7 linked regions of the Sus scrofa genome follow. The protein of the gene in region 2 interacts with the protein of the main gene of each other region in a pairwise test. Links are inferred from orthologs where the notes say so. Each region holds a gene or a part of one and is shown on either strand. Other genes may lie near its edges. The genes, in order: AP1M1, LDOC1, PSMA1, TNNT1, ZGPAT, NRIP1 and PEG10.

What was found.
Region 1: the proteins of LDOC1 (region 2) and AP1M1 interact in binary tests that used the Homo sapiens proteins (3 or more experiments, as listed by UniProt). The two-hybrid records come from large-scale screens. The link is inferred for Sus scrofa from reciprocal best matches to the Homo sapiens genes LDOC1 and AP1M1.
Region 3: the proteins of LDOC1 (region 2) and PSMA1 interact in binary tests that used the Homo sapiens proteins (3 or more experiments, as listed by UniProt). The two-hybrid records come from large-scale screens. The link is inferred for Sus scrofa from reciprocal best matches to the Homo sapiens genes LDOC1 and PSMA1.
Region 4: the proteins of LDOC1 (region 2) and TNNT1 interact in binary tests that used the Homo sapiens proteins (3 or more experiments, as listed by UniProt). The two-hybrid records come from large-scale screens. The link is inferred for Sus scrofa from reciprocal best matches to the Homo sapiens genes LDOC1 and TNNT1.
Region 5: the proteins of LDOC1 (region 2) and ZGPAT interact in binary tests that used the Homo sapiens proteins (3 or more experiments, as listed by UniProt). The two-hybrid records come from large-scale screens. The link is inferred for Sus scrofa from reciprocal best matches to the Homo sapiens genes LDOC1 and ZGPAT.
Region 6: the proteins of LDOC1 (region 2) and NRIP1 interact in binary tests that used the Homo sapiens proteins (3 or more experiments, as listed by UniProt). The two-hybrid records come from large-scale screens. The link is inferred for Sus scrofa from reciprocal best matches to the Homo sapiens genes LDOC1 and NRIP1.
Region 7: the proteins of LDOC1 (region 2) and PEG10 interact in binary tests that used the Homo sapiens proteins (3 or more experiments, as listed by UniProt). The two-hybrid records come from large-scale screens. The link is inferred for Sus scrofa from reciprocal best matches to the Homo sapiens genes LDOC1 and PEG10.

What each region holds. Positions count from the first base shown.
Region 1 is NC_010444.4:61,362,129-61,365,628, forward strand, and holds part of AP1M1 (AP-1 complex subunit mu-1), read right to left. Parts: coding exon 3,498-3,500; intron 3,029-3,497; coding exon 2,957-3,028; intron 2,361-2,956; coding exon 2,202-2,360; intron 1-2,201. UniProt on the Homo sapiens protein: Subunit of clathrin-associated adaptor protein complex 1 that plays a role in protein sorting in the trans-Golgi network (TGN) and endosomes.
Region 2 is NC_010461.5:115,579,335-115,583,421, forward strand, and holds LDOC1 (protein LDOC1), read left to right. Parts: upstream 1-1,287; 5' UTR 1,288-1,501; coding exon 1,502-1,942; 3' UTR 1,943-3,795; downstream 3,796-4,087. UniProt on the Homo sapiens protein: May have an important role in the development and/or progression of some cancers.
Region 3 is NC_010444.4:44,743,102-44,746,601, reverse strand, and holds part of PSMA1 (proteasome subunit alpha type-1), read right to left. Parts: intron 3,491-3,500; coding exon 3,387-3,490; intron 1-3,386. UniProt on the Homo sapiens protein: Component of the 20S core proteasome complex involved in the proteolytic degradation of most intracellular proteins. This complex plays numerous essential roles within the cell by associating with different regulatory particles.
Region 4 is NC_010448.4:59,360,811-59,364,949, reverse strand, and holds the start of TNNT1 (troponin T, slow skeletal muscle), read left to right. Parts: upstream 1-1,339; 5' UTR 1,340-1,344; coding exon 1,345-1,376; intron 1,377-1,485; coding exon 1,486-1,499; intron 1,500-1,742; coding exon 1,743-1,769; coding exon of another isoform or gene 1,770-1,814; exon of another isoform or gene 1,815-2,019; coding exon 2,020-2,052; exon of another isoform or gene 2,053-2,609; coding exon of another isoform or gene 2,610-2,823; coding exon 2,824-2,845; intron 2,846-4,139. UniProt on the Homo sapiens protein: Troponin T is the tropomyosin-binding subunit of troponin, the thin filament regulatory complex which confers calcium-sensitivity to striated muscle actomyosin ATPase activity.
Region 5 is NC_010459.5:62,647,488-62,650,987, reverse strand, and holds part of ZGPAT (zinc finger CCCH-type with G patch domain-containing protein), read right to left. Parts: intron 769-3,500; coding exon 635-768; intron 408-634; coding exon 252-407; intron 1-251. UniProt on the Homo sapiens protein: Transcription repressor that specifically binds the 5'-GGAG[GA]A[GA]A-3' consensus sequence. Represses transcription by recruiting the chromatin multiprotein complex NuRD to target promoters.
Region 6 is NC_010455.5:179,913,427-179,917,720, forward strand, and holds the start of NRIP1 (nuclear receptor-interacting protein 1), read right to left. Parts: upstream 2,801-4,294; 5' UTR 1,458-2,800; intron 793-1,457; exon of another isoform or gene 464-792; intron 1-463. UniProt on the Homo sapiens protein: Modulates transcriptional activation by steroid receptors such as NR3C1, NR3C2 and ESR1. Also modulates transcriptional repression by nuclear hormone receptors.
Region 7 is NC_010451.4:74,480,621-74,484,120, forward strand, and holds part of PEG10 (retrotransposon-derived protein PEG10), read left to right. Parts: intron 1-19; coding exon 20-1,226; coding exon of another isoform or gene 1,227-2,374; 3' UTR 2,375-3,500.

The sequences.
Region 1 (3,500 bases), on a different chromosome or scaffold from region 2:
ACTGTGGAAAGCAGTATGGAGATTCCTCAGAAAACTAAACACAGAACTACCATTTGATCCAGCAATCCCACTCCTGGGCATCTACCCAGAAAAAACCACTACTCGCAAAGACACATGTACTCCAATGTTCATTGCAGCACTATTTACAATAGCCCAAACATGGAAACAACCTAAATGTCCATCGACAGAGGAGTGGATCCAGAAGATGTGGTACATATGCACAATGGAATATTACTCAGCCATTAAAAAGAATGAAATACCAGCTTATTTTGCAACATGGATGGACCTAGAAACTATCATGCTAAGTGAAGTCAGCCATACAATGAGACACCAACATCAAATGCTTTCACTGACATGTGGAATCTGAAAAAAGGACAGATGGAACTTCTTTGCAGAACAGATACTGACTCACAGACATTGAAAAACTTATGGTCTCTGGAGGAGACAGTTTGGGGGGTGGGGGGATGTGCTTGGGCTGTGGGATGGAAATCCTGTGAAATCAGATTGTTATGATCATTATACAACTACAGATGTGCTAAATTCATTTGAGTAATAAAAAAAAAGAAAGAAAATATACCATGAAGCTCGCCAGAATGCATGGATAGTTCAAGATCTATCCCATTAATATATCTGAATGAATAGACAATGAAGAGGCATTTGGCTAAATTCATTGCCCATTTGTGCTACAAACACAGTAAAGTAGGATTGGAGTGAGTTGCAGCATCAATATACTTGGAAGGGAAACCTGGCAGCTCCATTTGAGGCAAAGCCAGGAGGCTGCTCTCTCCACAGCCACTTACAGGTGCTGGAGATGGCAACCCCAGCAGTGAGATGCCAGAAGCCACAAGATGCCCAAGAATAGAAGAGGAAAAGGGGAAACTGCACCTGGCTGTGAACGATATGAAAGAATAATTATGAAAGTTGAAAGAAAAGCTACAGCAAATAAGAAATTTAGTAGGATACCAGGATATAAAATTACCATATGAATGCTGGCAACCTATACTGGAAGATATAATGGAAAAGGAGGCTCCATTTACTAAAACATTGATTTAAAAATCATCTTAATGAGAAATGTGCAAAAGCAGAAGAGATCCTTGGGGTGTCCTGGGGATAAAGAGTGTTTGGTGGCTTTTATCTGGCACCAGATACACAGATGTATTCTCTTGGAGAAAATTCTTGATCACATATCATATGTTACTATTCTGCATGTTACAGTTAAATTAAAGTACCTTTAAAGACACTGAGGGAGTTCCTGCTATGGCACAGCAGATTAAGAACCCAGTGTTGTACCTGCAGTGGCTCAGGTTGCTGGGTTAAGGTTCTAGCATTGCTACAGCTGTGGGGTAGGTCACAGTTGCAGCTTGGATTCAATCTCTGGCCCAAGAACTTCCATATACCGTGGGTGTGGCCATGGGGAGGAAAAAAAAAAAAAGCCATCAGCAAACTGAGGAAAACTATTTCCAAGTCATGTCAAAGAAAAGGTACTAATCTTGCCCATGTATAAAGAGCTTTTGGAAACCAAGAAGAAAACGACCAAACGGGACAAAAAAGTGAGCCAGAGACAGCTACTACAGTTTCCAGAGAAACGCAAACAGCGCTCTGAAACATAAAAATGGTGTTCCAGCATGTTTATCACCGTAACAGTGATGGCCTGGTGTGATGGCCTCACACTTGTCTTCCATTCTCTCCTTCCTGTCTCCCCAGGCACTCTTCCCACAAACCCAGGCTCAAGTGCTCAGATTGAATACAAGCCAATGGGCCATGCCAGCATGTGGAGCTGGCCCAGGCAGGAGGTGCTCTCTGTGTCTGGAGCTGGTGCTGGATTTCCTAAACCATGTGGTCTGGCCCCAGAGCAGTCTGTTCCCCTGGAGGGGAGCTGAGCACTGAACAGCAGTGCCAGAGGGAAAGGAGGAGGGAGGGCTGGGCACTGCCCTGATGCTGAGGATAGGCCGGTTCACAAACAAGAGGAAGGTGGGGTGGCCTGGAGCCAGCGCCACCCCCTGCCTCTGCCTGCTCTCCTTTCAGCACTCCATCCACTCTCCCTCCTGAACCTTCCTAAAGCCCCAGGTGGGGATCCTGCCCTGTGCCGTTAGAGCTGCAAGGCTCCCCAACAGTCAGGTTGCCATGCTGTGCTGGGCACAGGGAGCAGGTGAGTGTGGGTGGAAGGCTGGAGGGGGCGCCCCACTGAGAAAGGTGCTCACCGGGAAGGACTTGATGGACCACACGATCTCACTGTTCTCGGGGACCCACTTGACGCTTCCCACTGTTGTCTTGAACTTGGGTGAGTCGGCATCGTTGGGCACGGGTATGTGGATTTCCACGTTGTTGGCTGTTGACCGTCGCTTGAATTGGCTCTTTGCCTGGAGATGAGGGTGGAGGGTGAAGGTGAGACAGTCCAGCTCCCCCGACTGCCTACTCCCTCGAGGGCCACATGTCCCTTGGCCTGACCTGTGGGATGCCCAACTCTGACACGGAGCTGACCCTCACGCCACCCCTTGAGATCTTCCTTAAGCTCAACTTCAGAAGTTCGGTCTCTGCCTTCCTGTCCCCTTGGCCTTTGGGACTCCTCATCCCTTCCTCTGGCCCAGCCCTGGCCTCCTGGGACAATGTCTGTGTCACCATGGCTTGCCTGGGCTTGATGAGATCACTGAGTGGCAAGATGGCACACCTAGATGCTTGGTCACAGGCCACTGCCATGGTGGCCGCACCTAGGATCTGGGTGGTGTGACCCCTCCCTGCCCCAGACCTGCTCTCTGTGTGAGGTCAGAGAGGGGCAGCACAGATGACAGCCACAGGCCTGACACCTGGGGGCAGGGGTCACAGAGCCCCGGTATGCCCCCAGTCCTGGGTTAGGGCCTGTGCCAAAGGCCAAAGGCCTGTACCAGGAGGGGCCGCCCATACCCCCCTCAACAACCCTGCACTCCCAGCTGATGCTGCATGCAGGACACACACATACCTTGATCATGTATTCAATGCGGCTGTGGGAATGCTTTTCAATCACAGACTCAATCCAGATCAAGGGCTTGACCTGTTGGGGAGAGTGAAGACGGTACTCAGACCTGGTGATTTTACAAAGCCCCGCTTCACAGAGGGGAAACTGAGCCCCAGGGCAAGGGACCACTTGGCCAGGTGTGAGCCTGGGGCACTGCTGCCCGGGGTGCTTGGAGGAATCCAGAGCTGGTGCCAGGATGGGTCAGAGCATAGAGAATAAGGCATCCAGCAGCTGCCAAGCCTTGGTGAAAATGCAGAAAACATCACCAGAGATGTTCTGCTGGGGCTGCCTGGAAACAGAGCAGAGCAAAGGGGCCTGACCCCTCAGAACGTCGGAACCTTGCCTTGTCAATCAGGCTCCTAGGAGTCCAGGCTGCCTGTGGGGAGCTGTGTTCATCCTGGGCATCACCTCGCAGTGAGACTCACCCTGGATGGGGATAGTTCCCACCCAGCCAAGCAGACAGGAGAGGCTGCCCTCAGGGAGGAGCAGGGGTGGAAGCACTCACGTG
Region 2 (4,087 bases):
GAGAAATGAAGCAAGGCAAACGTTAGAGGTTACTGGCAGAGAGTGGGGTGCTCTGATAGATGAGGTAGTTAGGAAAGTCCGCTTTGAAAATGGAGGAAGAGTCAGGCAGTAAAACCAGGAGAACATTCTGAGGCAAAAAAGAAAGTACAAAGATCCTGAGGCCAGAGCCACTCAGTGTGTGTGAGCCTCAGCAAGAAGGACAGTGTGATGACAGCAGAGCAGGAACTGGGACAAGGCAAAGGGAGTGAGGCAGGGCTTGATAGGCCATTACCGAGACTTTGGTTTTTATTTTGAGCGAAGGGGGAAAAACTATTGGAGGGTTTTGAGCAGGAAAGTAAAGAGATCTAATGTTTGTCCTAAAGGATTCCTATATCTACTCTGGAGTATGTATATAATACACACACACACACACACAACTTGAGGAAGAGAAGAGTGGAAGCTAAGTGATGAGCTGCAACAGTCTGTGTGAGAAAGGAGGGCTGGCCTTAGGGTGGTAGTGCTGTTTAGAGATCCCCAGGTAATTAAACTGCTGATATATTTAAAAAGCAAAGCTAAAAAAATATATTGGCCCCAAGGTCCTCACCCTGACTTATTTGTCAACTATTTGAATAATCACATTCAAAGTAGAAAACAAAACTATTTTAAAAACACATGTGTTCATTGTTAAGCAAAGAACAATAACCAGTAGTAGGACATGAAATAGAGTCAAAGATAGGCAGGACTCATGCAAATGGTGATTGGATACTAACTTTTGCAGAACTTTTTACACTTTGCTATTTAAAAGTAATTTTAAACAAAAGGATAGAGGTACACAATATTATTTTACAACTAAAGAAAAACCTCTTTTTAAGTATTACTTTGTCATGAAAGACAGGACTCCTGAACGTCTTTCATAACTCTTAAAGGATGTGACTCCTGCGGTGCAGCCAGAATTGCTAATAGTTCTCTGAGTGAGGGAGATTTAAACACGCAAAGAAATGTGTTAAAACCACATAAATGGAATCTGGTGGCCACAGACCCACCGAGGAACATTGAGTCGTTTGGGTTGAAGGGTGGTTAATCCTTTAAACTTGAGCAGGTTAACCCTCTCTGGGAGATGGATCTTAGCGTTTGCTCGGCCTTGGCTAAGGCCTGGCCCGCATCTAGGGCTGGATCTCCCCCCACTGCCTTTATCCACGGGCCGGGAGAACTGCGAGCCAGCAGCCCGAGACCCTGCCCGCCTCCTTGCCTGGCCACGCCCTCCCTCTGTCCGCTCCACTCTGGCCACGCCCCTCCTTTCTCCAGTGCCCGCCTCCCTCCAAGCGGGCGGCGCCGGCGTGCCGGCCGTCAGAGCCGCTGTGTGGGTGGAGCTTGCGCAGCTGCCGGGACCCCTGCGCGCACCGCCTCTCGCCCCTGGCCGCCGCGCGCCTCCGCGGACACGCACTTCCTGCAAGGCCTCCTTGCTCACCTTAGCCGATCCGAACCGAGCTGAGCCCATTCTTGCTCTTACAAGCTGTTCGCCATGGTGGACGAGCTGGTACTGCTGCTGCACGCGCTCCTGATGCGGCACCGCGCCTTGAGCATCGAGAACAGCCAGCTCATGGAACAGCTGCGGCTGCTGGTGTGCGAGAGGGCCACCCTACTGCGCCAGGTACGTCCGCCGAGCTGCCCGGTGCCCTTCCCCGAAACGTTTAACGGTGAGAGCTCCCGCCTCCCTGAGTTTATCGTGCAGACGGCGTCTTACATGCTCGTCAACGAGAACCGGTTCTGCAACGACGCCATGAAGGTGGCATTCCTAATCAGCCTGCTCACCGGGGAAGCCGAAGAGTGGGTGGTGCCCTACATTGAGATGGATAGCCCCATCCTAGGTGATTACCGGGCCTTCCTCGATGAGATGAAGCAGTGTTTTGGCTGGGATGACGACGAAGAAGACGACGAAGAAGATGAAGAAGCTGATTACTAGGCCGGGAGACCCTCGGGCCTAGGGGGGTGGGCCCTGCACGCCGCCACCACCCCCCGCCCCGCTTCGCTCCTCCCGGAGCCGCGACACTTCCCTCGCTCCCTATCTGCTTCCCTAGTCTTCCTAGTCTTCGCTCTGGTTCTCTTCCTTATTCACCGCTCCCCCCCCCCCCCCCCCCCCCCCGTAGTGTTTGTCTTTGTTCTGGGAATAGTGCTACAGTTACCTGCTGCTGGGGCTGGGGCCTCTCTGAAGTGCGCTGCCTCCCACTCAGGCCAGTCCCAGGGCCCAACCCTGCTAATTTGAACTGTGTTCTGAGCCCCAACTATAGGGCAGACTGTTACAAACTGGTCAGACTACCCACAGCCCTGCCGATTGTCAGGCCTACATCTGCCCAAAGACCGACGCTGCCACCTAACCAACCTCCATCACATTCCAGCGACAGACAGACCAGGCCTTTGGAGACAAGGACCAACCTAGAAGATGCTTTTAGTTGGCTATACCACCTGGGACATTGATTTGGACTGCTCACGCCCACCCCACCCCCCCACGAGGGGCGAATCTTTGCACCTGGTTCGTTCCCTCCTTTCCTAACTCATAGAGTCTTCTCCTGCCTCACCAGGTTGCTGCAGGGGCCCGTTGTGCCTGGCAGCCAAATTATTGACATTTCTCTTATGCACCAGTTTTGCACAACTGTCATTTTTCTTTTAAAACTGAAGCAGTCCCACAGCTGTGTGCATTTGGACAAAAATACTAAAAACAAAAACCAGACAGACAAAAGCAGGTACTCAGCCCAGCTCCTCAATACTACATAGAAAAAGCATTTGCATTCTTTTCAATAAATATCAAGCACTACGGAAAAAAAAGAGCGTCTTTTAATGGTTAAGTGCTATCATTGGCCTTTGCCACTCTCACCCTGACTCCCATTATTCCTACTGATATCAGAGAGCCTAGTTCAATCCCATTATTCTCTACTGTCATGTCTGGGCAATAGAGGACTGCTACTACAGAGCTTTATAGGGAAACTGGTGCTCCCCTCACCAAGGCACTTTTTAAAGCCCTGGTGAAGTGAGTGTCCTCTGGGGCTTCCAGGATGGGATGAATAAGGGGTAGTTGAGTAGATGGCACACCATCCCAAACTGGGACACTCGAGAGAAAAAGGGGGCACTATTACTAATCGGAATGGGACAATAGGCGTACATCAGGGCACATACCATATTCCTGTCTTCCTGAGCTTTTGGGTTCTTTCTCAGCCCTGCCAGGCAAGTGCTGCCTCTTAACTCTTATTCCTTGCAGGGTGCTGTTTGAGTTCAGGCTTCCATAAACAAGGTAGCACATTGTTTCAATACCGATTTTAGATGCTTGAGCTAATGTTAAATCCTGAGTCCTGGGTAAATGCACCCATAAGTGGAGCCAGATTTTAATGTTTCATCCTCCTTGGGCAGATAACCCTTAAGATCCCCACCCATCTGTGTGCCCCAGATTCCTGCCTGTAGAAATCGACAAGATGCCTGGCTATCTCCCATACTAGATCTTGTAATGCTGTCTGAGCTGTGCTGAGATCTTTTTGTGGGCCTGGAGGGCTGGAGGCCCTAAGGGAGTGGGGTGAGTGCTGAGAATAATCTCTACTTTTGTGAGCCCATAACCCCAGGTTAAGTCTTTGAAATGTTAAATCAGGGAAGCCTGATTAGGGGATTTGTGGGGCCTATCGCTGCCAGCCAGGAACTGTCAGGAGGATTTGAGGGGTTCAGAATTCTGATTCTTACATGTATCTGCCCAGATGTCTTCTGTACCATGCCGGGAACCAGCCCTACTTTAGAACCTCTAATTTAGATAATAAAATTCCTTCTTGTTTAAGACCTTTTGATGCTGAGTGTTTTATTTGTACCAATAAACCTTACATTGTGGGTTCAATGAGATACAGGGAACAGGTCTCTTGCTGTTGAGCTGGGCTTCAGTAGGAAGGTGTTAGGAGTGAACAGGAGCAGAATAAGCTCAGCAGAGAGAATGGAAATGAGAGCATGACAAGAGTTCATTTTTACTCTTTGGGATCTGACATGAAGTCAGATAGAAAACCAGTTTACTTGGTGAACAGACAAAGTCTAGAGCAAGAGTCATCTTTTGGACCTAAGAAAGTTGTTTCTGTAGGGT
Region 3 (3,500 bases), on a different chromosome or scaffold from region 2:
AAGCTTTGTCTCACAGCACTTTATAGAATAGAGAAGGATAAGCAAGAGAAAAAGAACAATCTCTCTTCTTTTACCCTTGCCACTGTCAACAAGACTGTTCATTCAAAAGACTGTCTTGAACTAGCAAAAACAATACTTTTTTTCCTGAAAGCTGACAAAAAATTCCCCAATACAGCCAATACAAGAAATAGAATCCATTCCAAGGTATCTCTTAACATTAGCCTGCCAACATTACTTCTATCCAAAAGGAATACTTTAGAGGAGATATCAGACACCAGACTGTTGAGTCTCGCTGTTAAACTTGACAAGATTCAAGCAAGTATAACACTGAGGAAAAGGAGATTCATGTTTTACAATTAAAGCCAAGAGGATAAATAAGAAATAGGTACGCAGAGTTCCCACTGTGGCTCAGAGGGTTAAGAACCTGACTAGTATCCATGAGGATGTGGGTTTGATCCCTGGCCTCGCTCAGTGGGTTAAGGATCTGGCGTTGCCACAAGCTGTGGTATAGGTGGCAGATGTGGCTCGGATCCTGGGTTGTTGTGGCTCTGGTGTAGGCCAGCAGCTGCAGCTCGGAATCAGCTCCTAGCCTGGGCCCTTCCACATGCCACAGCTGTGGCCCTAAAAGAGAAAAAAAAAAAAAAAAAAGAAAAAAGAAACAGCTATGCATTTTTCTTTCATCTTGCTTTGTTTAGCTTACATGGATGTCACATCTGATGATCAAATGCTGGCTGCAGAAACCAAACTACTTGTTCACTACTTTAAGTTCACTTCCCAAGACTGTCTAAAACTGCACTGCCCTATAATATGGCAGGTACTAATTACATGTGACTAGTGAGCACTGAAAAAGTGGCTAGTCTGACTTGAGATATAACTATAAAATAAACATGAAATTTCAAAGACTTAATAAAAAAACAATGTAAACTATTTCATTAACAAAGTTTTTATGTTGATTACATATGACACAACAATACTTTGGAGAGATTGGGTTAAATAAAATGTCTGACAATGCGACATATTTTAAAACAGCTAAAAGAAACCAGTAATGCTATCACTATGTTGCTGACCTAAGAGAACAAGGAGCTTGCCAGACAACTTGAAAATTTTAAACATTAGCATTATTATTTACCCTTAGTGTTTATATTCTTTCTTTCCTAATTAAAATCACAGACTTAAGTGATTACTTTCCCCCTACTACCTCCCACACAACACCTGAAAGACACTGTGGGCCAAGAGGAAAATAAAGAACTCTTGGCTCTGGCTATTGCCAGGACTAGAGTGGCTGGTTCTAGCAGTGACACAGAGCTCAGAGTGGCTGAGACCCTGTGAGGTAATGACAGAGCCAGGGCAAATAGGAGGAGCAGGGGGTCTTTTCACTCCTGCCCAGGAAGCTGGTGGTGCAGGCCAGTAGATGTGACTGCCCACTAAGCGCAAAGCAGTAGCAATTAACAAAATCGAACATGCTAACAAGAGCACTTGGGTGGTACCAAGTGTGAGCCTTGGGAAGTTTGGGAAAGCCTCATCAAAACAACCAGGCGTCAATGACCAAAATCAATAGCAACAGGACTCTAGAACAACTGTAATCCAGGCCTCCTCCCAGGGGCCTCTATTTACATTCCCTATTTCTAAGGTGGAGGAGAAAGGGAAACAAAGTCTCCAGAACCACAAGTGGCAAACCAGCAGCACACCTGATGGTTTTCAATACTGGCTGAACACAATTACTGTGTTCCCAGCCCTGGGTGATGGAGGGGCAAGGGGCAGAGCGCGGCAGCCACTCACTCATGCCACAGCCTCAACCTCGGATTCCGATTTGCTCCAAGTTCCTCTGCAAAGACATCTCACAGGCCATTGAGAGCAGTGAGGGAAGAGTCTGGGTTCTGGCAGCGTTGAGTCCAACCACCAATCTACTCCACATCCCCAGGCAACACACTGAGTCGCATGCCTTAGGGTCCTATCATGGGCCATGCCCCCTCACGGTAGCTCTGTGATCACCGCAGGGGACTGATATACTGGGACTGTCAACTGTGCAGGTGCTATTTACAGGTATGAAATGATTATCATTTAGGCCTCATTCAATCCAATAAATGTTTACAAAGTTACAATAAGGGAAGATTTTAAGAACCAAAAAAAAAAAAAAAAAAGGACCCTTTGTCAAGTGCTCCACATGTTAGGCTATTTATCAATAAAATACTAAGAAAATTAGGAGTTTAAATAATTAGACCAATATCAGATACTAAGTGCTAAAAGTGGGAACTAGGAGTTTCCATTGTGGCTCAGCAGTAAGGAACCTGACTAGCATCAATGAGGATGCTGGTTCAATCCTTGGCCTTGCTCAGTGTGTTAAGGATCTGGCATTGCCATGAGTTGTGGGGTAGGTCACAGACAGATCTCAGATCTGGCATTGTTGTGGCTGTGGCTGTGGTGTAGGCCAGCAGCTGCAGCTCTGATGTGACCCCTAGCCTGGAAACTTCCATATACCTCAAATGCCACCCTAAAAAGCAAAAAAATAAAAATAAAATAAAAAACAAAGGAGTTCCCGTCATGGCTCAGAAGAAATGAATTTGACTAGCATCCATGGCGACTCAAGTTCAATCCCTGGCCTTGCTCAGTGGGTTAAGGATCCAGTGTTGCCATGAGCTGTGGCGTAGGTCGCAGATGCAGCTCAAATCTGGCATTACCATGGCTGTGTTGCAGGCTGGCGGTTTCAGCTTGATTCAACCCCTAGCCTGGGAACCTCCATATGCCATGGATTCGGCCCTAAAAAGTCAATAAAAACAATAAACAAATAAATAAAAGTGGAAACTAAAGTCTGTGTGATTCCAAAATGTCAGTTCTTCATTTACATAATGCCTCTCAAATAGAAATAATCTCTATCTGGTCCCATACAGAAGTATACCTGTTACTCTCCACTTTCTTCTGTGTATTAGACATAGAACTGATTCTAATTTCCTAGAAGATGAGATCTATATCTCATTCACTTTTTACACCCTGCAGCATCCAGTACTGAGCTTTGCAAAAAATAAACATCAAATAAATACTGGTGTATTAGAGAAAGCAAAGGTGGTTCATCTGATCCTCGCAAACCCAACAAAAGTGTCAAGCTCTTCTCAGACATAATATCAAACACTATACACTGAGTTAACAAGTATCACATCATTGAATGACTTCTCAAAGGCATTAATATTAGTATGGCTAATTCTATTAGTTACTACACAGAGGATCAAGAAATGGGATACTGAGTAACTGAGCCCAACTTCACTAAGGTATACACAATCTTCTAAACATTCTGGCAGAATAGAATACCTGTAAAACATCTGGATCTTTTCTAGAATATAATCAATTATGAATCAAGAGATGTTTCCTTTGTTTTTCATGATCATACTCACCATAACAGTCTAGCATCGGCAGTAAGTCCCGCAATTGAGATACCGATATGGTTATCAACATGGAGGATTTTTTTCTGATGAGCTGCAAGTTCTGATTGTGCCCTCTAAATAGAC
Region 4 (4,139 bases), on a different chromosome or scaffold from region 2:
TCAACTCTATTCCAATAAAATTAAATAATAATTCAAGAAGGAGTAAGAAAAGAAATTGGGAACCTCTGGGCTCGGCTGGCAGACAGTCTGGGTGTCAGGACCAGGGTGCGGGCAGTGCCTCAGAATCTGGAGGTTTAGGAATTGAGGTCTCAGGATCTGAAATCTTATGATTGGAGGTATTAGAATTTGTGGAGTCATATTTTGGGGTATCAGGAATCGGGCCCCTGAGTCTGGGCATCCAGGTTTTGGGGTCTCATAAGCTTAAGGTTCCCAAATTTAAGGATTCAAGACTGAGGGGGTCAAGGTTTTAGGGTGGCCAGGCCCATAATCTGGAGTATCAACAGTTGGGGTGTCAGAATCCGGAGATATGAGGACTTAGCCATCTTCAGAATTCCTAAATTGGGATCTGTGGGTATTAAGATTTGGGGACCTCAGATTTGGGGGAGTCTTAGTATTTAGGGGTCAGGATGAGGTCTGGGGACAGAAGCTGCTCTTGTGTGTCCTGTCCCCTCCACAGCTGTGGGTGAAGGTGACTGATAACCAGCCAAAGGGGAGGGGACAAGGGTGGCAGAGGGGAGTGGGTATGATGAATTCTCCCAGAACCCCTCCTCCTAGAATACTTTTTAGATGTCCTCTGTGTCACCCTCCACGACATCCCCCCAAAATAGCCCTTGGGGGTGGGGCAGCTATTGTCTTCAGGCCACTGTGTCTTCCCCAAATACCTTCCCCTAATCCCTCCTCAGATCAGGTTCCAAAGGACTTGTCATAAGACAAAAGAGGGCAGCTGTGGTGAGGGGGTGGGGCCTGTGGCTTTGGGGTTGGTGGGGCCATACCTTCCCAAGCCCTGTCTTCATCCGCGGTTTAGGAATCTTTGGGAGTTGAGGGCCCCCAGCTCCTCCTCCCCCAGACCCAGGGGTCCTGTCCCAGCCCCTTCTCCCTCAGACCCAGGGGTCCTGCCCCAGCCCCTTCTCCCTCAGACCCAGGGGTCCTGCCCCAGCCCCTTCTCCCTCAGACCCAGGGGTCCAGCCCCCAGCTCCTCCTCCCTCAGACCCGGGGGTCCAGCCCCAGGCCCCCGGCCTCAGACCCAGGATCCAGCCCCCAGCTCCTCCTCCCTTGGACCCAGGGGTCCAGGTCCCAGCCCCTCCTCCCTCAGACCCTGGAGTCCTGCCCCAGCCCCTCCTCCTCCAGACCCAGGGGTCCAGCCCCAGCCCCCCCCCCCCCCGTCAGACCCAGGATCCAGCCCCCAGCCCCTCGTCCCTCAGACCCGGGCGTCGGGACCCCAGGTCGGGGATCCCGAGTCCCTCGTTTGGACCCCCGTTCTCTGCCTCTCTAGGTCACGCCAGGATGTCTGACGCCGAAGAGCAGGAATATGAGGAGTGAGTGATGCTGGCGGGAGGGCTGGGGGCTCGGAGCGGGGGAGACCCCCTCCGCCTCCGAGGCGCCTAACTCTCCCCCTCCCTCTTTTCTCCCCGCCCGGGTCCTCAGGGAGCAGCCTGAAGGTGAGTGCACTTCGGCCCACCCCGCCCGACCGGCCCGACGCCCATCCTCCTGGGAGGGAAAAGCCCATCGTGCCCGGCGGCCGCTGAGGCTGACGGGTCCCCCCCCCCGCCCCGCCCAGCTGAGACTCGAGCCCGAACCTGGGTCTCTGCCCCCTCACCCACTGGGTCCCCTCTCTGAAAGCCCTTCCACCCCGGGTCCCCCTGGGCCCCTAACCCCTCTTCTCTCTCCCCGACCCCTTCCAGAAGAGGAGGCTGCTGAGGAGGAGGAAGGTGAGGCCCCGGACTCCGCAGGTCTGGAGCTGGACGCAGGTCTGGGGGGGTGGGGGACAGGCGGGTGGGTGGGGGGCCCGCTGGTCCAGGGGTGCAGGCCGGGCGGGGCGCGGGGCTTTCGGGGTTCTCGGCCTCAGTTCCTTTAACAGCCTCTCCCCTCTCTCCCCTCTCTCCCCCCCTGCATCCGGGCCTGGCCGCTCCCCTCCCCTGGCTCCCCAAACCCTCGCTTCTCCTCCTGCCCCCTCCCCAGCCCCCGAGGAGCCAGAGCCGGTGGCAGAGCGAGGTAACCGCGGCTGCTTCGCTTCCTGAGACCAATTGCGGGGTGTCCTCTGGGCCCTGACCTCCACGAGAACTCCCTCCCCGCCCCCATAACCCGCCCCGGACCCGGTCCTTTAAGCCCCGGAGAGCCCGCGCGCCCTCTGGTGGCCACGAAGGGAAATAGCCTCGCAGCGGCTTTAACCCGTTCCCTTCCTTCTTAAAGGGACCGACACCCAAGCCTTCTTCCCCAGACTGGAGGAATACTTATAGAAGGGTTGGATGTTTGCGGAGAGGCACCCCTCCTCCCCTCTCATCTTCGCCTGTTATTTTTCTCCCCCATATACATTCAAAGGTTGGGGCCTGGGTTGCAGAAGGGGGTAGCAGTGGGGGTCTGGATTCCTGTGTCCCCAAGGGGGAGGTGGCTGGGGACACAACTCCAGGGTCCCCGAGTGAACAGAGGGCTTGGGGAGGAGGGCAGGAGCTCTGGGTCTGCAGAAGGAGGGTGGGGGGTTTGGAAGCCTGGTTTCCCAGCGAAGCGAGTGGAGGGGGGGAATCCCCACACCGGTTCTGAATGTATATCTGATGCGTGTGACCCCTCCCTCCCTTTACGGCCACCCCGATTTCCCTTCTCCTCTTTTACCCCCGCCATACCCCTCCCCCAGGGCTGCAGGACAAGGGAACTGGGCCTGGGGACCAAGTCTTGGGGGGGCGAGGAGGGCCCACCTTTGGGTGTGTCGCGTCCTCCCACGCCCACAAACTCTTGCTAATTGTGTCTTTGTATCCCCCCCCCCAACAGAAGAGGAGCGCCCCAAGCCAAGGTGAGATCCTAGGGCTGGGGGTGGGGTCTCTTAGATCTAGCCCCTGCCTTCAGAGACAGGGTGCAAAAAAAGACGGGAGGAGGAGTTCCCGTCGTGGCGCAGTGGTTAATGAATCCGACTAGGAACCATGAGGTGGCAGGTTCCATCCCTGGCCTTGCTCCGTGGGTTAAGGATCCGGCATTGCCGTGAGCTGTGGTGTAGGTCGCAGACACGGCTCGGACCCCGCGTTGCTGTGGCTGTGGTGTAGGCCGGTGGCTACAGCTCCGATTGGACCCCTAGCCTGGGAACCTCCATAGGCCGCAGGAGCAGCCCTAGAAAAGGCAAAAGACAAAAAAGAAAAAAAAAAAAAAAAAAAAAAAGACAGAGGAGAGGGGGAGGGACACCTACGAAAGGACAGTGATTCTGTCCTTCAGCAAACATTTCTGGTGAACTTCCCATGGTATTTGATGAGTCAGAGTGTGGCTGCCCTGCTGGTGAAGCAGACCCAGATACAAAGATGGTAGCACAGAAGAGGCCCTAGCTATGCCCGGTGGCAGTCATGGAGGGCTTCCTGGGGGAGGTGCTGCCCTGAGTCCTGGGAGTTTGCTAATTGAAGGAGGTGGGAGAGATTGTAGTCGAGGAAGCAATGCAGAAGGTGCAAGGTCCAGCGGCCAGATCTCGGCCAGTCTTTGAGGATCCAAGCTCTGCAGACAGGTGGAGGCCAGGCTGTGAGAGCTCCTTGGGAGAGGGAGAGGAGACCTGGAGGTGGGGACCTTGGGGCCAGAGATTGGTGTTGCAATCTGAGCATGAGATGCAGTGGACAGTGGAGTTTCACCACGGCTTGAGGGATGAGGAGGCAGAGTCAGATGGGAGTGAGGACACAGCTGGGCTGCAGCATCAGGAAAGCTCGTTGGAGGCAGGAAGGCCTCAGGTGCGGAGAATGTCAGGCGAAGGCCATTGCAAGCTGAGCACACAGCATGTGCAAAGGCCCGGGGGCGTGAAGCCATGTGGCATGGCCAGAGAACTGTAGAATTTGGTGAGTTTTCAGGGAAGAAGGCCTAAGCCTGGGCAGGGGGCAGGGGGTGGAAAGGGGGCCACAGACGGAGAGATTTCCAGGTTGGGGAGCTCAGCTGGGGCATGGAGCCATCCGTTACCTGGAGTCTGGAGATTGGGAGAGAGTCTGAGCTGGAGACCAGTGTTGGTGAATCCTCAGTAATTGAGGAGAATCCAAGTCACAGATGAATGATATTAATCACTAGCATTTCCTACAAATGAATCAGAGGGTAAAACTCTCACCAGGGGACAAGGAGACAGC
Region 5 (3,500 bases), on a different chromosome or scaffold from region 2:
GCTGTTGCACACAGCCCCTCCTCCACCCTCCAGGCACCCAGGCCCTGAAGGAGCGCCCTCTGCGCGTCACGCATGCCGGTCCCTTCCTATGCGCCCCCTGCCCCCGTGGCTCGTGTGGGACCCCATGCCTTCTGGGCTTCTCCGTCTGTGGGGCTTCGGACCTGCCCCCCACGCCTGCCTGCGGGGCTTTCCTCCCGCCAACGCAGTCCCACCCCACCTCCCTGCTCTGGGGCCCCGAGCCGCAGCCACACCTCGCGCATAGCTGGGGTCGTCCGCGTCGCTGTTGTCTGAGTCAGAGGACCCCGTGGGCTCCGTGCGCAGTGGGGGTAGGATGCTGTCCCCTTCCACCACGGCCTCTTTCAACAGCAGAGAGTCAAACTTGACCGTGTAGTAGCCACTGTCCACATCTGGAGGGGCACCAAGGCAGCAGGTCAGCGGCTTTGACTCGTGGTAGGAGCCACACTGGACACTGGGAACAGGGTGGGGATGAGGCCAAGGGTGGCCTTGCTCCTCCTGGGCATGGAGTGGGGTCCCAATGCCCAACGACAGGAGGGGGCACCCGGGACTAACACTGTGACATGTGCAAGGGCTTCCCAGGAAAAGCCCCATCAGGGAGGCCCCTGGAAAGCCTCACCAGTGATCCGTGCTGGGTACCAGAGGCCATCCTGCTGCTTGGCCAGACACGCAGAGCCGGCCTGCAGGGAGCTCAGGTCCGGGTCCTGGAAAGGGCGCAGCTCGTCCACAGAGACCACCTGCCCGTGGGAGAACCTGCAGAGGGGACCGCAGAGTGTGGACTCAGAAACGGGCCGCCAGGGCCCATGAGAGGCCAGTCGACATGCCTGGGCGCTGCCCGGAAGAGAGGGATGGCCAGGGGAACAAGGGCAGCCACATGCACGTGCACAGATTGCACATGCCCGAACACGCCCACACACTGAGCACAGGCACATATGAATGCACTCATGCACAAACCCAGGCACACGTGTGCACACGCATGTAAACACCAACATGTGTACAGGCATACGTGCACACACCCACACAAAATACACATGTACAGCACACACGTGCACACTCTCTCACACACACATGCACAAGTGCACCTCTACGCACGTGCATACAGATGTGCACACAATACACACAGATACACAATCATGCATAGATGTGCACGCGCGCACACACAGCACATACACCCGTGTGCACACGCACACACCCGTGGTACATATGCACACGCGTGTGTGCACACACATGCATAGGTACCAGGCTCCCACTCTCAGGACAGACCCGGGTACCCCAGGGGCCAGGTGTTGGGAGCCATTCCCCAGCCTCCAGGCTAGTGCCACGAGGGGGCTGGCAGCCACCCTGTGATCAGAACCACCTGCTCCCACGGCCTCCTGGCAGACGCGGAGCCCAGACACTAACGGGCGATCAAGGCGCGTGTGTCCGCGTGTGTGCACAGGGCTGCCCTGGCTTCTAGGCATCCGTGAAACCAAGTGGACACCAGAACAGAGGGAGGAGGAGGAGGTGTGAGGACAGAGCGCGGCGACCTTTCACTCTGCCCAATCGCGACACAAAGGAACCACCCGCACATCTCCTCCGAGCCGCCACCATCTCGGGAGGAAGCCCTTCTAAGCCTCGAGGGCATCCGCTCCAGGACGGGGCACCAGCTGCTGGGCGCGGATCCGGGGTGAGAAAGGTGAGGAAAAGAAGGCATTTTCGTCATCTCCCGGGGGGCACAAAGCTGGCCTCAGACGCCTCCCGGGCAGGATTCGGTTCCTTCTCGCACCTGACTGTCCTCAGGCACCCAGGGCACTGCCAAAGATCAAGCGGCACCAGCAGCTGCGAGACCAGGCCCCACGTGTACTGCAGGGGACGCTGTGGGTGAAAAGCCCTGTTCATCTGAGGAAAGAGGCCTAAACCCAGGGTGCATTTGGCCCCTGCACACCCCACACCCCCCAACAAACCTCTCTGCAAGAATCCTCAGGAACACGAGAAGCCCTAAAATCCGGCAGCTTTCTTAACCGGGCAAGTGCTTCTAAGAAGCGGCCCCACGAAATAACAGTGAGGCGTTGCCACTGCAGTGCAGGAGCTCCCGAATCCGACTGCAGCGGCTCCGCTGCAGCTGCGGCTTGGGCTCCGTCCCTGGGCCAGGAACTTCCGTGTGCCGTGGGTGTGGCCGTAACTCAGCATCGTCTTCGTAATGACAATGAGGAGAGTCCCGCAGACTTAGCCACAAGCACCTTCACCAACATGAAAGACTCGGAAATAACCCACATTTCCAGCCATGGGGTGAAGGGCGAGCGTGGGAGGCCGGATGACCCGGGGCGGGGGTGGGGGGTGGGCGCACAGCCGGGAAGAGGCCCCCTCGCGCCTGCACCTCAGGCGGGACCGAGGCGTCTCACCGCCCAGTCGGGAGAAGAGGGACGACGGACGGCTTTCGTTCACGAGGACAGCGTTAAAGATGGGTTCCCCAAACCCGACCCCCCAACGACCCCCCACTATACTCGCCACACCACACTCCAGAATAAGTACAAACTGGAGCCAGAAAAGCAGTGTTTAGAAGGGTTCGACACCAGGGCGCAGCGTGGTTTAGCCCGGGAACGCCAGGGGGGTTCAACGTGGGCGACCCATCCAAGGAGACGGCGCCCGAGCGGAAGGCAGCGAAGAAACACCCCTTCACACCACGGACACAGAAGGATAACCGAAAACCCCGACACCCTCGCATGACGAAAACACTCCACAAGCCACGGGTAGAGGGAACTCCCTCAGCCTGATAAACAGCGTCTGTGGGGAACCCACAGCTGCCATCACACCCAGCGGTGAAAACCTGGGTGCTTCCCTAAGCGCAGGAGCAGGACAAGGACGGCTGCTCTTGCTGATCTCATTCAATACAGTACTGGAAGCCATTTAACAAGAAGGGAAATAAAAACCACCCCACCTGGAAGGGAAGAAGCAAAACTCCCTATTTTTTCAATGACACGGTTGCACACATAGAAAATCCTAAACAGGACACGCGGGCTTTAAAGGGTTAGCCTGCCAGGGCCCCCTTTGCCTGGCAAAGCAATAAAGCTATCTTTTTCTCCTTTATCCAAAAAGAAAGAAAGAAAAAGAGAAAGACCTAAATAATCCACAAAAAATCCTATGAATCAATGAACTCGGCAACGTTAGGGATACAAGATCAACAAATAAAAGTCAGTGGTGTTTAAACACACTAGCAACAAACAGTCTAAAAGTGACACTGATTTCATTCACGACGGTGTCAAAAGGAATAAAATACTTAGAAGCATATATAACCAGAGCTGTGGACTACACAACACCGCTGCAAAGAAATCAAAGACTTAACATAACTGGAAGGAGACCCCACCTTCAAAATTAGCCGACCTAAGACTGTTAGGACGGCAACACCCTTCAAGCTGACTGAGATACTCAGTGCAGTTCCTACCACAATTCCAACCATCTTTTACCCAGAGACGGACAAGCTGATTTTAAAACTCCCAGGGAACCGC
Region 6 (4,294 bases), on a different chromosome or scaffold from region 2:
CGGGGCGGCGAGACCCAGAGCTGCAAGGCGAGAAGGGCTCCGGGCCGAGAGAGCAGCCGAGCAGGGCACGACCCTGGCCCGGACCCCCAGTATCCGGCCCGGCTCCGGGGCCACCAGGCGGCCGCCCCACGGCCCAGGACCCGCACGGACCCGCCAGTGAGCCCGGAGCCAACTCCCCAACTTGCGGCCCCGCTGCCCGGGCCCCCCGAGTTCCCGGGGAGATTCGAACACCGCAGGAGAGGCAGGATTTCCCCGGAAACCACCCCCACACATCGCCCGGCCGCCGAGCCCACCGTGCTGTCCGCGTCCGTTCCCGCAGCAGGCAGCCCCGGCCCGACGCCCCGACGCCCCCGCGGCCCTGCCTGCCAACGCCGCCGCCGCCGCCGCGGGCCGCGCTCCCGGGTCGTTTCCGGCGGCGCCAGCGGCCGCTCCTCTGAGCCCCCCGGCCGCGGCCGCCACTCACCCGAGGCCGCCGCGGCTCCAAGCCCCGGGCTCCGGCAAGCTCACTCCGCCTAGGCGCCCCGCCGCCCGGTCCTCCCCCGGCGCCCCGGCGAGCTCTTTCCTCCGACCAGCAGCGCTGCTGAGCGCAGCAGCAGACGCGAGGCCACTGGCTGGCGCGCGGGCGTGGGGCCGGATCGTCCCTCCGCCTCGGCCGCCTTCTCCTCCTCCTCCTCCTCCTCCGCCGCCACGGCCGCCGCCGCCTCCCGAGTTCGGGGCTCTGCTGCAATGTCTGCGAGGCTGACTTTGAGCGCCTCGCTCGCCGCCCGCCCGCAGCCGCGCTCCTCCCTCCGCCGCCGAGTCCGCCGCGGCCCAGTCCCTCCCCTCGCCGCTCCACGCCATTCAGCTCTTCAGCCAAGTTTCTTAACCCTTTTCTCCCCCTCTTTCCCATTGTGGCCGGGGCGGGAGGCAGGAGCCCGGGTCCCGGCAGCACGCGGGAGCCGAGGAGCCCCCCTCGGTTGGCTGTTTTCCTCCTAGCCCGCCCTTCGGACTGTCGGGCGGGGGCTGCGGGGACCCGCGGCTGCGGGAGGATCGCGGTGGCGGGGAGAGGTAGCTGCTCCACGCGCTCGCGCAGTCCCCCGCGGCTCCCGGCTCTGTCCAGCCGCCCCCACCGCCGAAGGCGCCGGGACAGCTCGTCCCAGGGGCCCGGGGCATCGAGCTCATTCCACAGGGCAAATGCTCGCCTTGGGGGGCACAGCCCGGGGACCCGAACGCCCGGGGTCCCCTCCTGGGTGCTGACGCCTCAGGAGCCCCCTCCTTCCATTTCACCCCAGGACACGCGTCCCCTTGGCCCCTTCTCGCCACCCCCAACTTCCACCACCTTGTAATCTGTGTGTCTTGCTTTAATCTTGGGGGACAGGGGCACTAACTGCAGGTCACTTGGACCCCACGCCCAGCACGTAGGAGGCACCCAGGGATTAAATGCGGAGTGACTCCCAGAGGAAAACTGGGAAGGAGACCTGAGGAGTGCTCCGTTCGGCTCCCCAGACGGACGGAGGACCCAGGAGCAGGGTTTTTCTTCAGCTGCTTTGTCACTGCGAAGTCTCCAGCGGAGTCCGTCAGCGAATCTACATCATCCCCGGGAAGAATCTGACCCGACCAGACAAGGCAAAAGGCACAGGGCTGCCACTTCTTCAGCAGCTCTCCCTGGTTCAAGCTCCGAATAAGAAATAACAATTACATCACGAGGCTGGGGCGGCAGCGCGGTGGAGCCTCTTGGTTTCCTGCAGCCAGATCTCGCTGAACCCGCCTCTAAATTGAGGGGGATAAGGATTGGTGAAGAGAGAAAGTGGAGGGAGGAGAGAGTCATACGAAACCGTAATTTCCCCTTTCTCCCTGTATTTGCTGTTTTAAAATCTTATCCTCAGCGCTCCCCAGACATCTAACTAGAACTATTAACACCCCCTCAACACCTCCCCAGATGTCAGGTTTCTTTTTGACTACTAGCATCTAGCATTTAGTAACTCGCCATGAAAAACAAAATTACCGGGGGAAATGAGTACCGTTGCTGAAATTGTTTTTGCTTGCTCCGAAACGCTAAAGTGCAGCTTAGCCTCCCTTTAAACTCCGAAATGGCATGCCTGTTTTAAAACACTTATTACACAAAACAAGTGAGTGGATGAGGCATTCCATTCTTCTATGTAGGAAACCTTGTGAATTCCATAGCATTTGAAAATAGAGTTGCTGGTGCACTTAAAAAAAAGAACTATCCAAGTCATAAACAGTATTCTATGCCTGTTATGTAATGGCTGTGCTGTGCATTTAAAATGTCATTTAACCTTTACAAATATGAATGAGAGTTCTGGAATACCTTCACAATCTGAAAAGTGAAAGCAATTTTTCAAATTAATTCTTAAATCCAGCCCGTAGCACAGTGCTGGGTACATGGTAGGTTTATTTTGCTCCATGGTGATACTGCATTTTAGAACAATTCTTTTACATCACTCTGGTGGTTGATTCAACTGTGCAGTCTGTCGCCCTCTTATACAGTTTAGACCTCTTATGATAGTTTGTTATTTGCATATACCACTGTTTGAAATCTGTTCAAGACAACTTGGTAAAGTCTGCTGTTCTATAGCATAACATTAACCCAGGATTGATGCAAAGCCAAGTCTTCCAATTAAGTGATGATCAGCATAATTGGAGCTTGGCTCTTTAAGGAGTCAAACTTGTTTAAAAATAAAAAAAGTCAAACTTGTTTTAACTCTTGTACAAATGTTTTCTATGTATTATAAATATTTCTGTTTTCTAAAACAGTTTGGCTTTTTGTCGAAATTCTGGGTTAATTTTATTTAAAGTGTTTATTATATAGTAGGTTATAGTGGATTTAGCAACTACGTCCAGTTCCTGTTCTTTATCAGGCTTCTTCCAAGGTGTTAAGGCTGCTCCCAGGAGGTATATAAGCCATCAGTCTCTGCCCTGAAAGACTCTGGGATACTGGGACTGAGTGATTATCTCTGCCCGTTGTAGTTTCTCTCCCCCTTCTCTAACTGACAATCTGGTGTCTTTTCTCTCTTTTGCCAGCATGCCTGCCTCCAACATTCTCCTCCTCTTCTGATTGGCAGCTGCTAGTCTGGTGAGGTCTGAGAATCCAGATAGCCTCACTTGTCACAATACAGTCTAAAGTAAAACTGAGTGGGTTCCCTGGAAGGAACTAATGTGCTCACCAAGGAGTAAAGCACATGAACCTTAGTGCATAGATTCTGTGACACATTTGGACCGCTCAACTGTTGCTCTGAAAATATTCTTTTTGCTTCTTAGCAAGAGTTTTAGATGATTGCAGTTGGTAGATAAACAACTTCCTAAGTCAGGTTATATCAAGTTTTGGTCTTGCCCTCCAACACTAGTGTTAAAAAAGTCTGCTGCAATATGTTAGGTGACTTAACAAAGCTGCTCACCTCATTATTAAGCTCTCTTCTCAACCTCACAGAACTCCAATCATTGAAATCCTGAACTCTTTTTGGTAGTGCATTAGTGTTAAGTAAATTGCACACCTTTTGCAGAATTCATTTTTACTTAATCATTCTAATTGTGTTGGGGCTATTTTGTTGTTCTTTGTTTTTTTTTTTTTTTTTTGAAAAAATCAATACCTAAGTTTCCTGGCTAAGAGAGTCATTGCAAGGATACTGGGGCATATATGTAATATAAGAATGCCTATTCAGTAATTTGTGTAGTGAAGACAACTCTCATATAACCAATCGTGATGTGAAAAAGACACCCTTGAGCTTATATACTTAAACACACAAGTAGGTTTACAAACCCTGGGGTTCCTGTGGGCTCAGAGACTTACAGTTCGGGCTCAATATGTTCATCCCCCACAAAGAAGGCATCTGGGAGAGGCGTGCTTATGATGTGCTCCCTGAGTCTGTCCTGCTAGAGCATTGTTCACACCAGTTGGTGACAGGATGTTTAACCATTCTAAGTTCAAGTACTACAGCCCCAGGGGCCATATCCCTCTCGTTCACATTTGGGTACCTCCATCACTTATCCCTGGCACACTGTGTGTGCCAGCGGTAGCCATCCGGTAGATATTGGACAAGATACTGTCATAGCCACAGGACAGAGTCTTTAATTCTACTTGGGGTTCAGGTGTGGGGTAAGGCAATTCAGGGAAAGTTTTACAGAGAACAGAGTGCTTCAGCTGGCCATTCATAGGTAAGAAGAATTTGCCAAGTAGGCAAAGTGGAAAGCGGTTCTCAGAAAAGGAAAAGACTCTTTAAGTAGCAAAGTGTGAAGAAAACAAAAATGGACATTGAGAAGTATTGAGCCCACTTTCTACACCATGAACTAGTGACTA
Region 7 (3,500 bases), on a different chromosome or scaffold from region 2:
CTTTTATCCTCATTTACAGAAACAAAAAGCTTCTGAAAACCAAAAGGCGAAAGGGCGGAAGAGGAGGCCAGGAGCCAGGCCTCCATCCCCACAGGAGTGAAGCTACACCTGGGAGGTCTCCTCCCACCCCATCTCTCACCCTGGGGCCCGACTGCCCACCACCTCCTCCTCCTCCTCCCCCCAACGACCCATCCTCCTCCAACTCCTCCTCCCCTTGCGGAGGCCAGAGGGGCCAGTACAACCCCAATCTGGCAGAGCGAAGGCGGGACGATCTCTCCGAAGAGATCAACAACCTCAGAGAGAAGGTCATGAAGCAGTCCGAGGAGAACAACAACCTGCAGAACCAGGTGCAGAAACTCACAGAGGAGAACACCTCCCTCCGTGAGCAAGTGGAGCCCGCCCCTGAGGAAGAGGAAGACGACATTGAGCTGTGCGGTGCTGCAGCTGCTGCTGCCCCAGCCACGCCCATCGAGGAAGAGTGCTCAGAAGACCTTCCTGAGAAATTTGACGGCAACCCAGACGCGCTGGTTCCTTTCATGGCCCAGTGCCAGCTCTTCATGGAAAAGAGCACCCGAGATTTCTCCGTCGATCGCGTCCGCGTCTGCTTCGTGACAAGCATGATGACCGGCCGTGCTGCCCGCTGGGCCTCCGCCAAGCTAGAGCGATCCCACTACCTGATGCACAACTACCCAGCCTTCATGACCGAAATGAAGCACGTCTTTGAAGACCCTCAGCGCCGCGAGGCTGCCAAACGCAAAATCAGACGTCTGCGCCAAGGCATGGGGTCAGTCATCGACTATTCCAACGCGTTCCAGATGATTGCACAGGATCTGGATTGGAACGAGCCTGCACTGATTGATCAGTACCACGAGGGCCTCAGTGACCACATTCAGGCAGAGCTGTCCCGCCTTGAAGTCGCCAAGTCGCTGTCCGCCCTGATCGGCCAGTGCATCCACATCGAGAGACGGCTGGCCAGGGCTGCCGCCGCGCGCAAGCCACGCTCCCCACCACGTGCGCTGGTGATGCCTCATGTCAGCAACCACCACCAGGTGGATCCCACCGAGCCCGTGGGAGGTGCCCGCATGCGCCTGACCCAAGAAGAAAAAGAAAGACGCAGAAAGCTGAACCTGTGCCTCTACTGTGGGAATGGAGGTCACTACGCCGACAACTGTCCTGCCAAGGCCTCGAAGGCTTCGCCGGCGGGAAACTCCCCGGCCCCGCTGTAGAGGGACCTTCAGCGACCGGGCCGGAATTAATAAGGTCCCCACAAGATGATGCTGCTTCATCTCCACACTTGCAAGTGATGCTCCAGATTCATCTTCCTGGCAGACACACCCTGTTCGTCCGAGCCATGATCGATTCTGGTGCTTCCGGCAACTTCATTGATCACGAATACGTCGCTCAGAATGGCATTCCTCTGAGGGTCAAGGACTGGCCAATACTTGTAGAAGCGATTGATGGACGTCCCATAGCATCGGGCCCCGTTGTCCACGAAACACACGACCTGATAGTCGACTTGGGAGATCACCGTGAGGTGCTGTCATTCGATGTGACTCAGTCTCCATTTTTCCCCATCGTCCTAGGGGTGCGCTGGCTGAGCACACACGATCCCAACATCACGTGGAGCACCCGATCGATCGTCTTCGACTCTGAATATTGCCGATACCACTGCCGGATGTATTCTCCAATACCACCACCGCTCCCACCACCAGCACAACCGTCATTCTATTACCCGGTGGAAGGGTACAGAGTTTACCAGCCAGTGAGGTATTACTACGTCCAGAATGTGTACACTCCAGTAGACGAAAACGTCTACCCAGACCACCGTCTGGTTGACCCCAACATAGAAATGATCCCTGGAGCACACAGTATTCCCAGCGGACACGTGTACTCACTGTCAGAACCTGAAATGGCAGCTCTGCGAGATTTCGTGGCCAGAAATGTGAAAGATGGGCTGATTACTCCAACCATCGCACCCAATGGAGCCCAAGTTCTCCAGGTGAAAAGGGGGTGGAAACTGCAAGTTTCTTACGACTGCCGAGCTCCCAACAATTTCACCATTCAGAACCAGTACCCTCGTCTCTCCATTCCAAATTTAGATGATCAAGCTCACCTGGCGACATACACCGAATACGTACCTCAAATACCAGGATATCCAACCTACCCCGCGTATGCCACGTACCCGACCTACCCAGTAGGATTCGCCTGGTACCCCGTGGGGCGAGACGGACATGGACGATCGCTCTATGTCCCTGTGATGATCACCTGGAACCCGCATTGGTACCGCCAGCCGCCGGTGCCCCAGTATCCGCCGCCGCAGCCGCCGCCGCCACCGCCGCCGCCGCCGCCACCACCGTCTTACAGCGCCATGTAAATACTTGTCATGTCCTTCCGGATCTCTGCCCTCAAAATGAACTCCTGTTCAGCTTCTCAATCAGTGACTGTGTGCTAAATTGGGCTACTGCATCTTTAAGCCAACCTGAGGCACAGGTTTTTTCTGAAATGGCTTAGAAAGGTCAGGGCCACCGTGGACTGGCACACATTCTAAAGCACCAACAGCCTCTGCTGTTTAATGGGAGCGACAAAATATGTACCAACAAATTACCTATGCTTTCCACCTTAACTGCCAATCTAATTAAAATTCGTAATAAGTTTACTTCCCAGCAAACCCTGGAAGCCTGGGTTTACCTGCTGAAACCTCTGTCACCAACTCAATTATGGGCTGCCAGATTCCTCATTTAACAGTTACTGAGAAGCTGATGCAAATACAGGAAATACTGTTTTCTTTATGGAGGGGGAGATGAGGAGGAGGAGGAGGACATGACCCTTCTTGCAGTTTCGGTACTCTCTTTACATCATTGGAGAACCGAGGCCTTATTAAGGAAGCCAAAATTATTGGTGCAGTGTGAATGGCTTCCGTGATCTTTTTGCTGCACCCTTTTGAAACTTCACCATCTTCAGACTCCACTCTCATGACTCAAGGAGCGGCAATTTGACTGGTTCCCCTAGGAGCAGGCAAAACCCCTGCTGCAGAAACACCTCAGGCCTCAGAAGGAAATGCTGTGAGATGGATGTTTGCATGTTGAGTGTGCCTTCACATCCTGGTGCAAATCGCATGTACCCAATAACTCTGACTTTGTCACAACACCTTACCATCATCATGCCAGCAGTGGCTTCCACAAAATGTTAAACCTGGTAACCAGAGACTATTGGTGACTCCAGGTATGTTAGATGTTTGTGAAATGTGATCACCTCTCAACCAAGTGTGAGGGCTAATATCAAAAGGACTCCTAAATCCCGTACCCAACTCTTAAAAAAGAGACTCCAAGTTAATGTTACCAACTTGACCTGGAACTTCAGAATGGATTTTCATGAACGTTGTTAATGGCTGGAAGAGCATTACCTGAAGTCTCGGGAGCATCTATCCATGTCTCTGCCTCCATATACATCTGGGCATTTCATCATCAATCCCCTCACAAAACTGTAGCACTAGGATGCTT